2 linked regions of the Stegostoma tigrinum genome follow. The protein of the gene in region 1 interacts with the protein of each later gene in a pairwise test. Links are inferred from orthologs where the notes say so. Each region holds a gene or a part of one and is shown in the gene's direction. Other genes may lie near its edges.

Region 1 (10,074 bases):
TTAAACGAAAATCTATTCCATTGAAAACAAAACTCAATGAGAAAGATCCATCTATGATTTCCCAATAAGGTTAAGGATAATATTAGATAGTTAAAAAGGCATATGATGTTGAAAAGGATGGTAATAAGTCTTGGGGTTGGGAATGTTATAAAAGCAGAAAAAAACCCCCAAAAAAATTAATAGAAAAGGAAGAACTAGAATATGAGAATATTGAAGAAAATATAAACTAGTTAGGAATATCAAAGTCGAGTGAAAGAGCTTTTAAAGGGGAAGAAAAATGAAGGCAGTAGCCTAAAGTAAGCATTTGTCGCTTAGAAGCAGAATCAAGATAGATTATCATGGGGTTTGAAAAAACGACAAAGACATGGAATAAATATTTTCTGTCTGTCTTCATAAGTTGCATACCAGAGAAAGGGGGTAATCTAGGGGCTGAATAAGAGTAAGGTAATCATTATCAGAAGAGAAAAATTACTGAAGAAACTCATCAGACTAAAATCAAAATGCCTGTGACTGATTGCTCACATCCTACATTTTGAAAACAAATAGCTAGAGAGATAATGGATGCTCTGGCAATGATTTTCCAAAATTCCCAAGTCTCTGGAGTAGTCCTAGTGGTATAATTAAGAAAGTCTTAACAATGCATCTTTAAAAAGCATTGTTTGATTTAAATAAGTTTAAGAAAAAGAGCACTATGTATCAGAAGCAGTTCTGAGGAAGGGTCACCAGAGCAGAAACATTAACTCTGATTTCTGTTCACAGATGCTGCCGGACCTGCTGAGCTTCTCCAGCAAATTCTGTTATCGTTTCTAACTTACAGCATCTGCGTTCTTTTGGATTTTTTTTAAGGACTGCAAATGTTGGAAATCAGAAACACAAACAGAAGAAATGCTAACTGTGCTCTCTCCACAGATGCTGCCATACCTACTGAGTTTTCCCAGCAACTTCTGTTTATGTTTGAGAATAAGCCAACTGGTTTTATAAAAGAAAAATAATGTTTTACTGACTTATTACTTTTTGAGAATGTAAGTATATGGGGACCAGTTCATGTAGTATATTTGAATTTCCATATGGCATTCAATGAGGTGTCCCATAAAAAGATAATGTACAAGAGCTCATAGAGATAGGTGTTACATATTAAAATGTCTTGCTTAATTGTGCCAGGCTTTAGTGAGACCACATATTTCCGAGTCAGAATGGTGAGTGGCTTGGAGGGGAACTTGTAAGTAATGGTGTTCCTATGTATCTGCTGTCCTTTTACTTCTAGACAGAACTGATCTTGGGTCTGGAAGGTGTCGTCTAAATAATGCTTAACAATGTAGAGATTGAATGGTTGTTTCTCCTGGTTGGGGAGTCCAGAGCAAGAGGACACAATTTCAGAGGAAAGAGTGGACTGTTTAGGATTTAGATAAGGACAAATGTCTTTATTCAAATGGTTATGAATCTTTGGAATCCTCTCTCCCAGAGCGTTGTAAATGTACCATCATTGAATATATTTAAGATTCAGATAGATTTCTTTTGCCTCACAGGAAATCAAGGAGTATGAGGGGAAGTTGAAGCTGCAAGATCAGCCGCGAACTTATTGAGTGGCAGAGCAGCTACAGGGGACTACTTGGGCTTCTCCTGCTCCTTATTTTTCATTCTTTCAGGGAATGTGGACATCACCACCCAGGTCAGCATTCATTTATTGCCCATCCCAAATGGCTTTGAAGAAGGCGCTGGTGAACCACTTTCTTGAATTGCTGCAGTCCACGATCTGTAGGCACATCTAAAGTTAGCCCAGTAAAAGAGGAGAGATGGTGGTACATTTCCATCTCAGGATGTGGTGTGACTTGGATGGGAACATGCAGGTGGTGGTTTTCCCATGCATCTTCTGCCCTTGTCCTTGCAATTGCTAGAGGTTGGTGGTTAAAATGTGCTGTCAAATGAAGCTTGGTGAGTTACAGAAGTGTATCATGGAGTTGGTACACACTACCACAATTAGGCATCAGTAGTGAGCGAGTGAATGTTAAAAGCGATGGATGGAATACCAATCAAGCGGGCTGCTGTGTGCTGGATGCTTTCAAGCTTCTTGAGTGTTCTAGAGTCTAGCAAGTGGACAGTGTTCCACCACATCCTTACATTTGCCTTTTTGATGGTAGAAAGGCATTGGGAAAACATAGAAACAAAGAAAATAGTAGCAGATGTTGTGCATTCAGTCCTTCAAACCTATTCTACCATTCAATATAATCATTGCTGTTCATCCATCCCAGTATGCTGTTTCCACTTTCCCACATTCCCTTTGATTCCTTTAGCCCTAAGTGCCATGTCTAACTCCTTGAAAACACTTTTTTTGTTTCAACCACTTCCTATGCCAGAGAAATCCACTGGCTCACCACTCCCTGGGTGAAGAAATTTCTTGTTATCTCAGTCCTAAATGAGTAGTTCATATTTTTAGACTATAAGCCCAGCATCTGGAATTCCTGGTCATCAGGAACATCCTCTCTACTGTTTATCATCTCTAGTTGTGTTTGAATTTTATAGGGTTTCTATGAAATCCAGCTCCCCCCACCATTTTTCTAAACTTCTGTGAATATTGTCTTTGTTCATGCATGAGGTCTTCAATCCTGGCAATCCGTCAGGTAAGCCTTTGTTGAACTTCCTCCATAGCCAGAACATCCTTCTTCAGATAAGGAGACCAAAGTTACACACAGTGCACCAGATGTGGTCTTACTAAGGCCCTGTACAATTGCAACAAGATATCCATGCTCTTGTATTTGAATCCTCTTGCAATGAAGACCAACATACCATCGATGCTGCCTACCACACGTGCATGCTTACTTTCAGTGACTGGTGTACAAGGACGTCCAAGTCTTCATTGATATCCCCTTTTGCCAATGCATTGCCATTCAGATATCAGTCTGCTTCCCTGGTTTTACTACCATGGTGTACAACCTCACACTTGTCTATATTATACTTCACTTGCCACATATTTATCCACTCACTCAACTTGTCCAAATCACACTGAAACATCTTGGTGTCCTTCTCACAGCCCACCCTCCCACCCAGCTATGTGTAGTCTACAAACTTGGAGATTTTACATTTAGTTCCCTCATTTAAATCATTAATATATGGTGTTAATAGCTGGGAACCAAGCATAGATTCCTATAGTATCAGACTTGGCATTGCGTGCTGTTTGGAAAAAAGATCCTTTTTTCCCTACTCTTTCCCCCCCCCCCCCCCCACCGCGGCGTGTTGTAAAGCAGGACCACCAAAGTGGGTCTGACACAAGCAGTTAATGTGAATAAAAATGAGCTCCTGTGTGTCACTTGAGGCTTCCCACGGCTGTCTCCCCCGTCAACTTCCCCCCCCCCACCAAAACACACACACAGGCACACACGCCACGCACCCCCGTTTCCAAAACTGGCCAAAACATCAGACAGTTTGTTACCCACACTTAAAACATTGAGAGCTTCCCCAATTTCAGAAATAAGCGATTCCCACCAGACTGCCATTCACTGCAACCAGCATTGCCCACGACTCAAGATTATGCACCAAATCCCTGCATTTGGCATACATATATGCTTTTTTTTGTCCAATGCACCAACAGTTGGATGAGCATTTGACTAAACACTGTGCGATGAGTCACTGTTTCTAACTTGATGTCGTGATAGATGTCACGGTGGGAGTAGAATGCAGCTCTACGCCCGAAACGTCAACTTTCCTGCTCCTCTGATGTCGCCTGGCCTGCTGTGCTCCTCCAGCTCCACACTGTGTTATCTATTATTTGCAACATATTTGCCCAAGCCTGGATGTGATCCAGGTTTTCCTGCATGTGGACATCCAGTCTGCTTCCTTCTTGGAGGCTAAATGTTGTGCAGTCACACATCACTTCTTTTGATTTTATGACCACCTATTTAATGTTCTTAAAGTTCTGACGGTGAACCCCAGCAAAATCTAGACCCAATTTAAAGCAAATGACAGATGGCCCCAGCGTTCAATGTGCCTGGTTGCGTATTTTTTTGCGCAGTATCACAGGCTCCATGTGATGTCCAGCTCGATATCCCATCAGCGCGGGAAAGGCAAGGGCGGGCATCATTTCAGTCACGCACTGAGAGTGTGTTCTGGGGAAAGCAAAACAGGCTCAGCTTTTCGTGGCAAGATCCTTAAAAGTGTCTTTTCTACTTTGGTTTGCATTAGCACAAGGCCAGTCCACTGGGTTAAAGGCTTATTCTGAACAGAAAACACGCTTTGTAAAAATGTGTCACGTCGGATTCAGCTTTTGATTATTTGAGCGTTAGATGTCCGATATGTGCAGCTACTTCCTCAAGACCTCCCATCCCCATTTGTGTAATGTTTAAATGCTTCTCAACACGCAAATAAGGTTGTTTCCTTCCTGCCAACCGTGAGAATGGCCAAAGTTCCGACAGGAAAATCAAGCACATGAGGAAACACACAACAAAACGTGTCCATTACCTCTTCAAATCGAATTTACATTCTACTCCCACCGTGACATCTATCACGACATCAAGTTAGAAACAGTGACTCATCGCACAGCGTTTAGTCAAATGCTCATCCAACTGTTGGTGCATTGGACAAAAAAAAGCATATATGTATGCCAAATGCAGGGATTTGGTGCATAATCTTGAGTCGTGGGCAATGCTAGTTGCAGTGAATGGCAGTCTGGTGGGAATCGCTTATTTCTGGAATTGGGGAAGCTCTCAATGTTTTAAGTGTGGGTAACAAACTGTCTGATGTTTTGGCCAGTTTTGGAAACGGGGGTGCGTGGCGTGTGTGCCTGTGTGTGTGTTTTGGTGGGGGGGGGAAGTTGACGGGGGAGACAGCCGTGGGAAGCCTCAAGTGACATACAGGAGCTCATTTTTATTCACATTAACTGCTTGTGTCAGACCCACTTTGGTGGTCCTGCTTTACAACACGCCGCGGTGGGGGGGGAGGGAGGGGGTTGATGATGGTTAGGAATTGGGGCGGAAGGGGAGCCGGACTGGTGGGTAGGGGTGGTAAATCAGAATAATGCCTCTGGTGTATCTCCCCCCCCCCGCCGCCGCTTATGAAACGGTTCTATTTTGATTTATTCAACGAGAAAGCTATAAAATATTCCTGTAATAATGGCCGCTGTTTTCTGTGAATTGAGAATATAATTGCCTAGCAATACCAACCTTCAGAACAGCTAAGCGATTTCCGCAGTTTGTAACGTTTCCAAGCTGGCTGACTAATTTGAAATTAATTCATACTGAGAGAAATAGCAAACTGGCCGTGGACAGGACCACAGTCCAGATTCTGGAAGGCAATTTGTCTGCCAAGATTCCTGTCGACGTCACTAGGGTGTAACATTTCCGAGGCGAGTTCACGGGAGTGGTATAAAAGCATGGGCCACCGAATACAAAGTAGAAATGACCGGAGTGTAGTCTATCTGAATTGTACTGGATACATTATTCACGGCCTGAGATTTGTTAATACCATCGGTGATTTGTGAAATTTGTGCTGGTTTACCAGAGCTGACCTGAAGGGCACAACTTTAGTGAAGTCGGGCAGTGTTGGTACTGGACATAGAGAGGGCTTCACACTGGAGCTGTGTGTGTGACAACATTGGGCTGACATAGAGAACCGATACATTTTTAACCTTTGGAGGAAAGCCGTCTTCATTGACTGAAGCGTTCATCATAACAGCGTTGAACAGGAACGCGGCACTTGCTTCACTTCAAGATGTCTTTCGTTTTAATAGCATTTGTGCTCTATAATCAGATTGAAAATATAGCTACAGCGCGTAAGTAATATTCGATTTTACACATTCTACAAATTCTAAAAACCATGGCAATTGTAAAGAGAAAGAAGAAATGTAGTTTCTTCTGGTGTATTGCAAATCGACTGTCTTGTCTTCCGGCGCTTTTACCAAATGTTTAACCAACTGTTCTTTATTGAAAAGATCCATTCTGATTCATACCAGTTACAGAGAACTGATTGCCTCATCCTTAGCGGGATGCCCCCGCGGTTTCCCGCGAACCATCACTTGATGGAAGTGAAGGCTCTCAGTGTTAGAGGTGTGAGTATCCTCCTCCTGGAAAAGGGACCAGTTAGCGACATGATGGTCGACCAGCTTTGGAATGACGAACGAGCTACTCTGGGGAAAGACAGTAGCTTTATTTAAAGAAAAATCTGTTAGTGGATTGTATCGAAAAAAGGTAACGGTTATAATAACGATGAAATAAACGAGTGCAGTAGGTGCCCTTCATCTCCCAGTAATCCATTCTGAATTCTGAATTAAATTTTCTCAGCGGTTGTGCGCGAACAGAGACAAATCCCACATCTTGCGCGACGTTACTGGTGCAGTACCTGAGCTAAAACAAACCACTCCTGGTTATTGCGGAGCAACGAAAGGACAGTGGGTGTGATTTTGAAAATAACGTCAGACAGTGCAGTGATTCAGGTCTGCTGTTCTCGAATTCCCTGGTGGGGAACCCATAGCACCTTCTCTCGACTCTCATCACCTCCAGGTTCGCTGTCTACGTTTTTAAAAGGTCGTGCGTTGATTTGAGATTCCAGTAGAGGCAGTACTTCCAGGTTTTTTTTCTCTCCTGACTGTTTTAATCAATCATAGACAACAAGGTGTCGAGCTGGATGAACTCAGCGGACCAAGCAGCATCACAGGAGCAGGAAAGCTGACGTTTCGGGCCTAGAATCTTCTTCAGAAGGCTTCTGGTTAGAGTTAGGGTCATTTCTGAAGAAGGGTCTACGCCCGAAAAGTCAGCCTTCCGGCTCCTCTGATGCTGCTTGGCCTGCTGTGTTCATCCAACTGTACACCTTGTTACTTCAGATTCTCCAGCATCTGCAGTTACTACTATCTCTGTTTTAATCAACCCCTTGCGCTGTGAATTGTGACATCGCGAATGGAACACAGTCGCCCGGTTTTTGGGGAAGGTGGACAGCTACATTGGTTTGCACACGGAGCTCCGACGTTCTGAAAGTGAGATTGCAGATAAAGCGGAGCTCACACCCTTGTAATTCGACAGTGTGGCAGATGAACTAATAATTCCTAATATCTAACACGAGCAATTGCTCACTTATAATTGCTTAATAGTGGGATTATTTTCGGTTAAGTACGCTATTTGTATCAGAAATTTAAGATAGACTTCACCAGTTGACGTTTCTAATGTAACGTAGAAACGAAATCAAAATACTCCAGTTGCTGGAAATCTGAAATGAAGACAGAAATGGAACAGACATGATGCCAGACTTGTTGAGTATTTTCACTTTTTTTAACTTGTCAGTAACATTACTGACCGAACAGACTATAGATTGGATGTAATTAGACATGTTCGCATTAAACCACAAACCTTCCGCATGGAGATTCCAGAGGGATTTGATGGGGGTTGGGGGTGGCCGCAGTTTTTGTTGCACTGTGGGTGGGTTGAAGAAGCGGCGCGGTTCTGCCCCGCACTACGGCTGGAGATGCTCAATAGCACGTCCTCACTCTGTCTTCACAGTCGTTTCAAACCCAACCTACCGCAGCTCCTTTTGTAGCTGTTGAACGCTCCGGCGCAGCTCAGGTAGTCCACATTGAGAGAACGCTCAGTGCATGACCCAAGGCGCGAAGTGGGTTGGAAATGGAATGAATGCAAGATTATCAGTTGACCCAGGTCATATTCGCATCAAACTAAAGTCTAAAAAGCAACAACCAATCATGATTTCAGCAGCTCTGTGACACCAATAAGCTGCATGCTTTATTAAGTGACAGTTTGAGTTGTAATACCTTTGTAGAATAATAATGTACAGGATTCATCAGTAATGTATAAAGTTTAAACTCCTCACAAACAAAAAATAGCACTTCAACACAGCGATCAATTCAGAATATGAAATCAGCAAATGTCTTTATCTTCAGCGCATCTTCCCGAATGATTTTATTTGGTTCAGACATGACAAGGAAGGAGGAGATGGGAAGCCATGGTATGGTATTAATACAATGGGACCAGTAATTCCAAAAATCCCCGCCAATGTTTAATTTCAGTTACGAGGAAAAATTCAACAAGTTGGAACTTTTTGAAGGGAAGGGCTGAGAGAAGATCTGATAGAACATTTGGAAATCATATACATGAAGACGAAATGCTTGGAGGGACATAGGCCGAGCGTAGACAAGTGGGACTAATTTAGTTTGGGTTTACGGCCAGAATGGACCGGTCCGTTTCCGGGCTTTATCGCTCTAAGAGCGGTTGGATAGTATAGATAAGGAGAAGCTGTTCCTTCTAGTAAAAGCTTCAAGAACTAGAGGGTGTAGATTTGAGAATTTAATGTGAGGAAGAACATTTTCACGCAGAGGGCGGTGGGAATCTGGAACTCACTGTTTGTAAGGGTGGTGCAGGCAGAAACCCTCATAACATTGAAATATCTAGATGCCAAGGCATTAAAGGCTATGGGCCAAGTGCTAGAAAATGAGATTAGAATAGTTAGGAGGGTGATTTTGACAGGTTCAGACTGTCAAAGGGCATTTTCCTGTGTTGTAAATCTCTGCGACTCTACCTTTTAAAGTGATTTGCAAAAGAGGCAAATGTGAACTGAGAAAAATCTGCCTGGATGTGTGTGGAATTGAATTCAATTTACGCATTCAAGATGGTATCGGATGATTGTTTGGATGTAAATAATTTGCAAGGTTAGGGAGAAGAAGCAAGAGATTGGGAGTAGGCAAAAAAACAAAAACGGCCATGCTGGAAATCTGAAGCAAAAACTGTTTTTGTTTGGAAAATCTCAGCAGGTCCGACAGCATTTGTGGAGAAAAATCAGAATTAACATTTCGGGTTCAGTGGCCCTTCTTTAGAACAGGCTCACTGAATCTGAAACATTAACTCAGATTTCTCGCCACAGATGCTGCCAGACCTGTTGAGATTTTCCAGCAATTTCTGTCTATGCCTCAGATTGGAGGTAACTGCATGTTGCTTGTTTGAAGTGCCAGTGCAGACACGATGGGCCGAACAGCCTCTTTCAGCACCTACTAATCCTGTCATTCTTCTGTAGAATGTGTTAATCCTAATCGCATCCATTTTATACTATTTTGTATGGAGTATTATAACTAAGTGGAACTGCGTTGAATGAATGAACAACCTGGTAAGTTGAATAAGTAGAATGTTGGCATTTTGTGATGATTTAAACGGGGTGACTGTTACTGTAACGTATTTTCTGTATGTTGGTTCAGTATCTCAGCGCAGGGGTCTAGGGGACAGTATGAACATGTAATTTCAAGCGCAGAACATATTTATGCTGCAGTGATGAAATTGGAAAATAAAACACTGAGCTCAGTATATTTCGACGTGTTTATAAAATTTACCACTGTTTAGAATGTATCCGTGTCTGCAGGAATCTGATTTGTGTTGCTTCTGTTGTGAATTGATCTAGCAGTGTGAAATGGTTCCCTCAAGAGGGCCTGTGAGGGCCGTTTTTCTTCCAATAACTTGGGCAACAAGTGCAAATGTGGTTGTAATAACCGCTCTGAGAAATGAAGCCAGGTCGGATACTAAGCAGTGGAACACAGAATTAAAGAACGATTGTTCAAAGACAATAACTGCCTTACATTAAAGAAGGCATTTTTATTTCTATCGCAATGCGATTGTGATCACATAATTCAATACCACAACTGGAGAATATAGCAAATGCTGATTATAAAAGAGGAAACTACATTTTTCATATACATATTTGACATTTTTGGCTGTAAGATTGTCCTCCACAACCGAATATCTTAAATCACTTCTTGAGATTGTCAGTCAGCTAAAAACAAGTCTAGCTGGCCAGTGATAATTTGAAAGCTCCGTTTTAATAAGTCATCACTCAGCTTTTAAATTCCAGTACTACAAAGAGAACCCGAACAGTATTCAAATAATAGCTCCAAGATTTTAATTTCTGTAACATTTTTTGCTATGGTGGTACTTGTACAATTCATTTTAAAATGTGTAATGTCATAATGAACTTTAACAAAAGGAAGAGAAACCTTACTTTGGAACCAGGAAATACGGAGCCACAGCTTCCATTCTGAAGCACATTCACAGCGGGAGCATTGTTTAGTTGTCTGAGAGCAAAATCTTAGTAAATTAATGG
Region 2 (10,255 bases), on another chromosome or scaffold:
GCAGTGAGTTTCCACAATCTGCAATAACATCATCCCGACTGGGCAGACAGGGCCTTAGGTTAATGTAGCCCTTAGCCAGTGCAGTGCTCTCTCTGCAGTGACCCTCTGATGGTGGAGCAGTCTCTCACTTGTTCACTAGAAGTGTCTTATTAATCATTTATTCTCTCTTTGATCAACTTCTCCTTTGACTCATCTCACTTTCTACAAGTCCAAGGTGTGGCCGTAGGTACCCACATGGGTCCCAGCCCTGTCTCTTTCTTTGTGGGGTCTGTGGAACATTCCTTGTTCCAGATGTACTTGGGCCTTAACCAACAACTCTTTCTCCAATAGTTGACCATGTAATCAGTGCTTCTTCCTGCTGTGGTCTGCATTTGGAAAATACCATCAGCTTTGTTTCTAATTTCCATCCTTCTCTCCCTTCACATCTGGTCTATCTCTGACTTTTCCCTTTGTTGACTTCACTCTGCCCATTTCTGGGAACAATATCCACTACAAAACCATTGAGACACGTGGTTACCTCAACTAGCCCTCCTCACACCCTGCTTCCGGCAAGGATCCATTCCATTCTCCTAGTTTTTCTGTTTCAATTGCATTGTTCTCATAAAACAAAGAACTGATGATGCTGGAAATCTGAAACAAAGACAGAAATTGCTGGAGAAACTCAGCAGGTCTGGCAGCATCTGTGGACAGAAAGCACTATCAACATTTTGGGTCTTGTGTCCCTTCCTCAGAATTGTTCTGATGAAGAGTCACCAGATTTGAAATATTAACTCTGCTTTCTCTCCAGAGATGTTGTCAGATTGCTGTGTTCTCCAGAAATTTCTGCATCTGTTCTGATGATGCCACCTTTCACCGGGCTACCTTCAACATGGTTCCTTTATCTTCAAGCAAGGATCCACCCTCACTGTAGTTGACGGTTCCCTGAGCCATTTTCTGATCCACACTTCTGTTCACTACTTGCGTCCTTTCTGGAATAATGGTAAAGTTCCTTTTAGCCTCACTTTCCACCCCACCAGGAATGAATTCCATTTCAGACAGCCACAGTAAGATATCAAATACATCTTCTCCTCCCCTCCATTGTCAGCATTCTACAGGGACTGTTCCTTTTCTGACATCCTGCCATTGCTCCATTGAACCCCAGATTTCCTCATTTCCCCATGGCATCTTCCCACACAGTTGCAGAAAGTGTAACTCCTGTGCGTTCACCTCCTCACTCCTCACTTTCCATGGCCCCAAACACAGCTTCCCGGTGAAGCAGCATTTTATTTGAGTTTATTTCAATGTAGTCTACTGCATTCGCTGCTCACAATGCAGTTTGCTTTACATTAGTGAGACCAAACATGGATTGAGTGAGACCTGAAATGTCAGCTTTTGTGCTCCTAAGATGCTGCTTGGCCTGCTGTGTTCATCCAGCTTCACACTTTGTTATCATGGATTGTGTAACTGTTTTGGAGAGCACCTCCACTCTGTCTGTATGGATGACCCTGAGAACCAAGTTGCCTGCTGCTATTTCAATAAATCACCTTGCTCTCATACTAGCATATCTGGTCTGTGCCTGTCAAAAACTCAGTGAAGCTCAACACAAGCTTAAGGAACATCTCATTTTTCACTGAGGCAGCCTCAAGGACCCAATACTGAGTTTCACAACTTCAGAGCATGACTTCTGTCCTCCTTGTTTCTTACACCTCAATCACTCCTTTAGCCCATTAGTTTTCCTTTAGTCTTTTGCTTTGGGCACCTCATAATCTGTTCCAATTGCTCCTTTTCCTGCTCTGCCAATAACACAAAATAGCATTTTCCAATTCCTTTCCTTTGTGAAGAGTCACGTTGGACTCAAAACGCTAACTCTGTTTTTCTTTTCTCAGATGCTGCCAACTTGTTGAATTACTTCGGCACTTTCTGTTTTCATCTTGGGGGGGCTTGTCAAGCTGAATTATGTATTCATATTCCTTGAACCTACTATATTCTGACCAAGCAGAGTGAGTGGTCCTCCTGAGCCATGGTTTTAACCCTCAATGTACAGTGTTTCCCACTGAAACTGAGTTGAATAGATGGGAAGCTGGTCATTGTTGACAGATACATGGAAGCAGCTGTGTGCTAGTTACAGATCTGCTCTTTCATGCAGCTTCATACACAGCTGTTGCAGGGTCATTGATGGTGGGGAGATGGAAGATGCAAACTCTCATACTTAAATCCTCACCTTCCTTAAAAATATTCCAACCATAAGGTTTGCATCCATTCTGTAAATCACCGCCTCCTGCTGTTGCAAGTAAATGGCAGCTGAAGCAGCAAAAAGGCTGTGAGCATTCTGGCTAAATGTATTTCAGCGTCAGAATGGCAAAAGGTCCCCATTCAGGACTGGGCAATTTCCGAGCACAGAAATGAGAGCCTGACAGATGCAGCTGTCTGCAATAGAGCAGATGGGAAATGAATAACAGAAGGGAGCTGTGGTCCAAGGAGCAGAGTTTGATAACTGGCACTGTGTCAAGGGGAGACCTACCCAGGATTGAAGAGCATAATGACTGGGTCATTATATAGAGATGGGTGGGGATGTAGTTGGGAAATGGCCAGAGCAGAAGGAAATCACCTTTTAATTTGAGCCAGACTGTTCAGGGGTGATGTCAGGAGGCACTTCCTCATACAGACAGGAGTGGAAATCTGGAACCCTCTCCGATACTGAGGTTTGTTGATTTTGTCAGGAGTGAATCACGAAGTGGTTACAGTACACAACAAGACCATTTGGCCATCAAATTTGTGCAAACCCTCACAAGGAGCAGTGCTATTTAGTATCATCTCCCTGTAGCCCTTTTCAAATAACTTTCTAATTCACTTGGGAATACCTCAATTGAAGCTACCTCCATCACATACTTAAGCACCCAAGCCACTCGCTGTACAGAAATGTGTTTTCTGATGACGACAGAAACCAGGACAACTCCAACGCGGAAAGTTACTCCTCTGCTATTGAGCAGCAGCAAAATGATAAAAATGACAGGTTGCACCTTAACTGGTGGGGCACCAATATCCTGGGTGGGAGGTTTGCTACAGATCTGCGGGGCGGGTGGGGGTGGTTTAACCTAGTGTGGCAGGGGCTGGGGCAGGGGATCAGAACAACAGACCAGTAAGAGCAGGCAGTCGGGACAAAAGAGAGACTGAGATATGCATCGCACAGAGTAAGAGCGAGCAGAGGGATGTCACAGGGTTCGGAGGGACTGGAGGTCTGGAGTGTATTTACTTCAATGCAAAAAGTATAACAGGTAAGACAGATGAACTATGGCTGGTCTCAAGGGTATTGGCTATGAGGAAAGGTTAAAAAGATGAGGATTGTTTTCACTTCAAAGACAGCGGCTGAGAGGAGACCTGATGGAGGTGTACAAAATAATAAGAGGCACAGATAGCTTGGGTAGTCAGAGACCTTTTCCTGGGGTTGAAGTTTCAATTACAAGGGGGTGCAAGTTCAAAGTGAGAGGGGGAAAATTTAAGGGATATGTGCGAGGGAAGTTTTTCATGCAGAGAGTGGTAGGAGCCTGGAATGCACTGCCAGAGGAGGAGGTCGAATCAGGCACATTGGTAACATTTAAGAGGCATCTGGATGGCTACATGAATAGGGAGGGAATAGAGAGATATGGACCAAATAAAGGCAGAATGTTTGTTCTTTAGTTTAGTCAGGGCATGATGATCAGCACAGGCCTGGAGGGCCGAAAGGCCTGTTCCTGATCCAGACTTCTCTTTTGTCCTTTTGAAAGTTGATAATGCTTAGCAAGAGCCTACTCACTGATGGCCAGTTTGGGTTGTGCCGCTCACACAGTTCCCTCTCTCAGTACAGCTTTCATCCAAATAGGGACAAAGACCTGAATTCCAAGTGTGTGGTGAGAGTGACTACCCTTGATATCAGGTCCACATTCAACTGAGTCTGGCACTTATCTGGTATACGGTAGATAACGTTTGGGCCAAATACAAGGCAGTCTCCAACAACAGCAAATCTAACCATTGCCACCCAGCACTCAATGGCATTACCATCATTGAATTCCCCACCATCAAGGTACTCGGGAGTGCGCTTTGACCAAAAGCTGAACCGGACTAGCCATATAAATCCAGCGGCTACAATGGCAAGCCAGAGACTAGGAATACAATGGTAAGTAACTCACCTCCTGACTCCCCAAAGTCATCATTTGCAAGGCACAAGTCAGGAATGTGATGGAATACTCCTCACTTGCCTGGATGGGTGCAGTTTTAACAACACTTAAAAATCTTGACACAATCCAGGACAAAGCCCACCTGATTGGCACCACATCCACAAAAATCCACTCTCGCTGTCACAGGTGCTCAGTTGCAGCAGTGTGTACTATCTACATGATGCACTGCAGAAATTCACCAAAGATCCTCAGACAGCACCTTCCAAACTCATGACCACTTCCATCTAGAAAGACAAGGACAGCAGATACATGGGAACACCACCACCTCCAAGTTCCCCTCCAAGCCACTCACCATCCTGACTTTATATCATCATTCCTTCAGTGCTGCTGAGTCAGAATCCTGGAATTCCCTCCCTAAGTGTATTGTGGGTCAACTTACAGCACATGGACTGCAGCAGGTCAATAAGGCAGCTCACCACCACCTTCTCAAGGGGCAACATGGGATGGACAAGAAATGCTGGGCCCAACCAGCAATACCCACATTTCATGAGTGAATAAAAAATGTCACATTTCCTTCTTTTGTGAATCATTTAAATCTCTGCTCTCTTGATCTTGATCCTTTGACTAATAGGAACAGTTTCTCTATATTTACCCTGCCCAGATCCCTCGGGACTTTCACTGCCTCTTAATCTTCTCCAATGTAAACGATCCCAGCTTTTCCAATTACTCCAGATCACTGAAGTTCTTCTTTGTGCCTTCTCCAATGTGGTGATGTCCTTCCTTTAGTGTGATGCCCAGAACTGAATACAATGGCGTAGCTGAGGTTGAATCAGTATTCATCACCGATTTAACACCACTTCCTTCCTCTTATACTCCATGCCCCTAACAACAAAGACCAGATCACAGTCCTGTGTTTACTGTGCTCTCAACCTGTCCTGACACAGCCAATGATCTATGCATGTATACATCCAAGTACCTTCATCCCTGTAAAATTGTGCCCTTTATTTTGTATTTTCTCTCCATATTCTGTGTACCAAAATAAATCACTTCATGCTTGTTTGCATTAAAATTTCATTCGCCATTTGTTAGCCCTTTCCTCCAAACTGTCCATGTCCTCTTGAAGTTTAAATGATGATGTTAACTGTTTTCTCTCCGCAGCAGCTGCCCGACTTGCTAATTTTCTCAATGATTTCTGTTTTGGTTTCAGATCTCCAGCACCTGCACTTCTTTGTTTTATTTTACTCTTGAAGTTCAAGACTGCCCTCCCCACAGCTCAGGGTGATGAGACCAATGCAAAAAACTGGGAGTTAAACCGAGACCAAGCAAAATCTAATCAGTGGGACAGGATAGAAGGGAGGAATAATCTTGGCCTGTTCCTGTATTCTCAATTTTACTGGGACAGGATTCTGTAATCAATCAGAGTGAGCAAATACAATCAGCTAAAAATGTCAGAGGCAGAGATGTTGATAAATGCAACAGGAAGAAAAATTCAGGAAAATGTTCAGCCCACACCAAACGCAACCACCTCCTTGCTGCATTCCTGCCCGTGTGTGTGTGTATGTGTGTGAGAGAGAGAGAGATAGGGAGTGTGTGTGTGTGAGTGAGTGAGAGAGAGAGAGAGGGAGAGAGAGAGAGAGACAGAGAGAGATAGGGAGTGTGTGTGTGTGTGTGTGTGTGTGTGTGTGTGTGTGTGTGTGAGAGAGAGAGAGAGACAAAGAGAGATAGGGTAATAAAATGTGAGGCTGGATGAACACAGCAGGCCAAGCAGCATCTCAGGAGCACAAAAGCTGACGTTTCGGGCCTAGACCTTTCATCAGATGAAGGGTCTAGGCCTGAAACGTCAGCTTTTGTGCTCCTGAGATGCTGCTTGGCCTGCTGTGTTCATCCAGCCTCACATTTTATTATCTTGGATTCTCCAGCATCTGCAGTTCCCATTATCTCAGAGAGAGATAGGGTGTGTGTGTGTGTGTGTGTGTGTGTGTGTGTGTGTGTGTGTGTGTGTGTGGGAGAGAGAGAGACAGAGAGAGAGAGAGAGACAGACAGACAGAGATAAGGAGTGTGTATCCGTGTGTGTGTGTGAGAGAGAGGAAGAGAGAGGGTGTGTGCGTGGAGAGAGAGAGTGTGTGTGTATGAGAGAGAGAAAGACAGAGAGAGATAGGGAGTGTATGTATGTGAGACAGGGAGTGTGTGTCTGTGTGTGTGTGCGTGTGAGAGAGAGAGGGTGTATGTGTGTGAGAGAGAGGCAGAGAGAGAGAGAGAGAGAGAGAGATCTCAGACTCTCTCCTGCCCCTGTGTGTGAAGGAGAGGGAATGTGTTTATCTGAGGGAGAGGGAATGTATGTGACAGAGAGGAATCTCAGGCTCTCTCCTGCCCCTGTGTGTGTGAGAGAGAGCGATCTCAGACTCTCTCCTGCCCCTTTGTGTGAGAGAGCGAGTGTGTTTGTGAGGGAGAGCGATCTCAGACTCTCTCCTGCCTCTGTGTGTGTGTTGGTGTGTGGGAGAGGGAGTGTGTGCGTGTGCGTGTGTGTGTGTGATAGAGAGAGAGGGGGAGTGTGTTTATGAGCGAAGGGAGAGAGAGTGTGTGTGAGAGGGAGGGAGTGTGTTTGTGAGAGTGGGAGAGAGTGTGTGTGAGAGAGGGTGTGTGAGAGGGAGGGAGTGTGTTTGTGAGAGTGGGAGAGAGTGTGTGTGTGTGTGAGAGACAGGGAGTGTGTTGGTGAGAGTGGGAGAGTGTGTGAGAGAGAGGGAGTGTGTTTGTGAGAGAGAGCGATCTCAGACTCTCTCCTGCCCCGTGTGTGAGAGAGGGAGTGTGTTTGTGAGAGGGATCTCAGACTGTCTCCTGCCCCTGTGTGTGTGAGAGAGAGAGGGAGTTTGTGTGAGAGAGAGGGAGTGTGTTTGTGAGAGTGGGAGAGAGAGAGAGAGAGTGTGTTTGTGTGAGTGGGAGAGAGAGTGCCCAGACCACCCCCCCCTCTCTGTTTGGCTGTTGGGTAATGGATGATGAATTCCCCAAATGACATCAGCGGCTGGGCAGGAGAGTGTGGACAGGATCAGTCTCAGTGTGGAGAGGTTTCACTGAGGGGCAGCTCCGCTGATGAAGCCGAAGTATGGCCGGTTTCGAAGTGAGTCGGTGACCAGCTCAGCAAGCGGCTTGTTTCACAGCCTGACCATGAGCGGCCAGCTCGGTGCAGCTCCCGTGGCCGAAGAGCCGGAGGATTCCACCACCTTCTGCACCCTCATCCCCAGAATCCCGCACTGGAAATTCTCGGCGTCGCCGGGAGGCAGGAACCCGGCCAAAGGGCTGCCTCCCCCCCCGGGGCCCGGCCTGGCCACTGTCCTGGGATCCTGTGACTCGCTGTGCCCCCCTCCCTGCTCTGTCCAGGCCACGGCACGGCTGCCCGGGGGTGGCCGGAGGGTCCGGGTGGAAGGAGTGCGCTTGGCCGGGGGGGAGTGGAATCGCAAAGGCAGTTTCATCAACAAACCGTCCGGAGGCTGGTTACACCCAGATACCAAGATCCTGGGTCCCGGGGTCTCCTACATCGTCCGTGTGAGTAACAGGGGCAGAAGTGTGTTGGTGTGTGTCCCTACTCCCCCGGGGGCAGACCACACTCAGTGCCCGTGCAGGTAGTTTTGGGGGGAGGAGGGGGTGGTCCGTCCCCATTGCCCACAACAAGCTGCAGCCTAGAGCCTCCAGAGCGAGCCCCAACTCTGTCCTCAGGAGAGGGCAGGGCAGAGAGCGCTTCCCAAAGCAGTCGCTGAGGCAGGGTCATATCATTGGCAAGGAGAAACCAGGAACTAATTGACTCACTGGACCCTGGCATCTGACGTGGTCCTGCCGTTGGAATCTATCATTTAATTACTTTATGAGAATGTAATTAGAATCTATAATGCAGCGGAGAGAGGCTGATCACGAACAGAAACTTCTGTCGGGTCTGAGAAAGCGAGAAACATGACCTTTTCCAAAGGTTGGGTCTTCTCTGATTGAATTTTTGGAGGAAAAGCAGCAGGTGGACAGTTTAGGTGAATGTTGCCGTTTGTTGGGACTTGAGGAAAATATTTGATAATTTTCTATGTGTTAACACAGAAAGGGGCAGTTTAGCCCTTCCTAGGAAGGAGTTGATGCTTGTGAGAGGTCGGCGGGATGTTTCCTCACATGGGGGAGTCTGGAACAATGGGGATTAGCAGAGGCAGATCTGTTGGTTGTGAGGTTGTTTAGCTCTGTTTATCACTTGCTGTTTACGATGTTTGGCGTGCGAGTGGTCCTGTTTGGCTTCACCAGGTTGGCACCTCATCATCAGGTCTGCCTGGTGCTGTTCTAGTGATAATACCACTAGGGAGTGCCCATCCCCAAGTGCCCATCTTTAACATGGATTGCCCTTGAGAAGGTGCTGGTGAGCTGCCTTCCTGAACTGCTTGATTTGTGGGTATGCCCACAATGCCCTTTGGGATTTTGTCCCAATGACGGTGAAGGAATGGTGATTTAGTTCCAAATCAGGATGGTGAGTGACTTGGAGGGGAACTTGCAGGGGTTGGTGTCCCATGTATCTTCTGCCCTTCTGTCCTCCTGGATGGAAGTGGTTGTGGGTTTGGAAGGTGCTGCCTGAGGATCTTTGGTGAATCTCTGCAGTGCATCTTGCAGATAGTACACACTGCTGCTATGAGTTGGTGGTGGAGAGAGTGAGTGTTTGAGGATATGGTGCCAATCAGGTAGGGGCTGCTTTGTCCTGGATGGATACCAAGCTTCTCGAGTGTTATTGGAACTGCACCCATCTAGTTAAGTGGACAGTATAACATCACACTCCTAACTAGTGCCTTGTAGCCAGTGGACAGGCTTTGAAGAGTTAGGAAATGTGTAACTTGCTGCAAGATCTGTAACCTTTGACCTGCTTTTGTAGCCACTGCATTTATATGGTTAGGCCAGTTGAATGTCAATTGTGTCTCCTAGAATCTTCGTAGAGGAAGAGTTAGCAATGGTAATATCAAGAGACAATGGTTTTGATTCTTTCTTTTTGTAGATGGTCTTTGCCTGGCATTTATGGCATGAATGCTGCTTGCTACACCCAAGCCTGAATCATGTCCGTAAACACAAATTGCTGGAAAGACTCCGCATTTGTGGAGAGAAAGGAGAGTTAACAGTTCAGGTCTAGTGATCCTTCTTCGGACTCTCCTGGATATTATCCAGATGTCGTTGCATTTGGATATGGACTGCTTCAGCATCTGAGGAGTCACGAATGGTGCTGAACACTGTGCAATCATCAGCAAACATCCGACTTCTGACCCTATGATGGAGGGAAGGTCATTGATGAAGCAGCTGAAGATGGTTGGGTGAAGGACAGAGATGTCTTGAAGCTGAGATGATTGACCTCCAACAACCACAGCCAACATCCAATGTGCTAGCAAAGTGATGATAGTGATATTGATGGTGGATCAGTATCCAGAGATCCAAATAATGTTCTTGGGGTCTGATTTTAAATTAGTCTGTGACTAACTGTAGAACTTGAATTTAAAAAAAAGTTTGGAATTAAGAAGTCAATTGGTGACCATGATCCTGTCACTAGTTGTTGTGATAGAGAGGGGTTTTTAACTAAAGTCGTTTTAGAGAGAGAGATGTGCTGTCCTGGTCTGACCACCATGTGACTTCAGACCCACAGCAATGTGGTTGACTCAAACCTAAACTCTGAAATAACAGGGTAAAAGTGTGAAGGATACTCCCCATGGCTGGGGAGTCCAGAACCAGTGGTAACAAACGGAGGCCACCAGGTGGGCCAGTTCGTATTCAGATGAGGAGAAATGTCTTCACCCAGAGAGTGGGAAGCCTGTGGAATTCACTGCTACTGAAAGTGCTTGAGGCAAAAATGTTTAACATTTTCAAGGAGTTAGATAGAATCTTTCAGGCTGAAGGGATTAATTGGTATGGGGGTGAAAGTGACAACATGGGACTGAGTTGGATGATTAGCCATGATCGTATTGAATGGTGGAGCAGGCTTGAAGGGCTGAACGGCCTACTCCTCATATTTTCTATGTTTTTCATATCCAACTAGTACAAACTTTTGATTCAAGATTGCTACGACAAATATCCCACCAAAATCCTTACAAAAAAGAACAGTTAACCACGACTCTGTTTCCCAT

What was found. The genes of interacting proteins can lie anywhere in the genome.
Region 2: the proteins of flt1 (region 1) and shc2 interact in a two-hybrid assay, tested with the Homo sapiens proteins (2 studies listed by BioGRID). The link is inferred for Stegostoma tigrinum from reciprocal best matches to the Homo sapiens genes FLT1 and SHC2.

The regions. Positions count from the first base shown.
Region 1 is NC_081359.1:79,183,076-79,193,149, reverse strand, and holds the start of flt1 (vascular endothelial growth factor receptor 1), read left to right. Parts: upstream 1-5,345; 5' UTR 5,346-5,700; coding exon 5,701-5,761; intron 5,762-6,311; exon of another isoform or gene 6,312-6,488; intron 6,489-10,074. UniProt on the Homo sapiens protein: Tyrosine-protein kinase that acts as a cell-surface receptor for VEGFA, VEGFB and PGF, and plays an essential role in the development of embryonic vasculature, the regulation of angiogenesis, cell survival, cell migration, macrophage function, chemotaxis, and cancer cell invasion.
Region 2 is NC_081383.1:1,005,722-1,015,976, reverse strand, and holds the start of shc2 (SHC-transforming protein 2), read left to right. Parts: upstream 1-6,119; 5' UTR 6,120-7,220; coding exon 7,221-7,673; intron 7,674-10,255. UniProt on the Homo sapiens protein: Signaling adapter that couples activated growth factor receptors to signaling pathway in neurons. Involved in the signal transduction pathways of neurotrophin-activated Trk receptors in cortical neurons.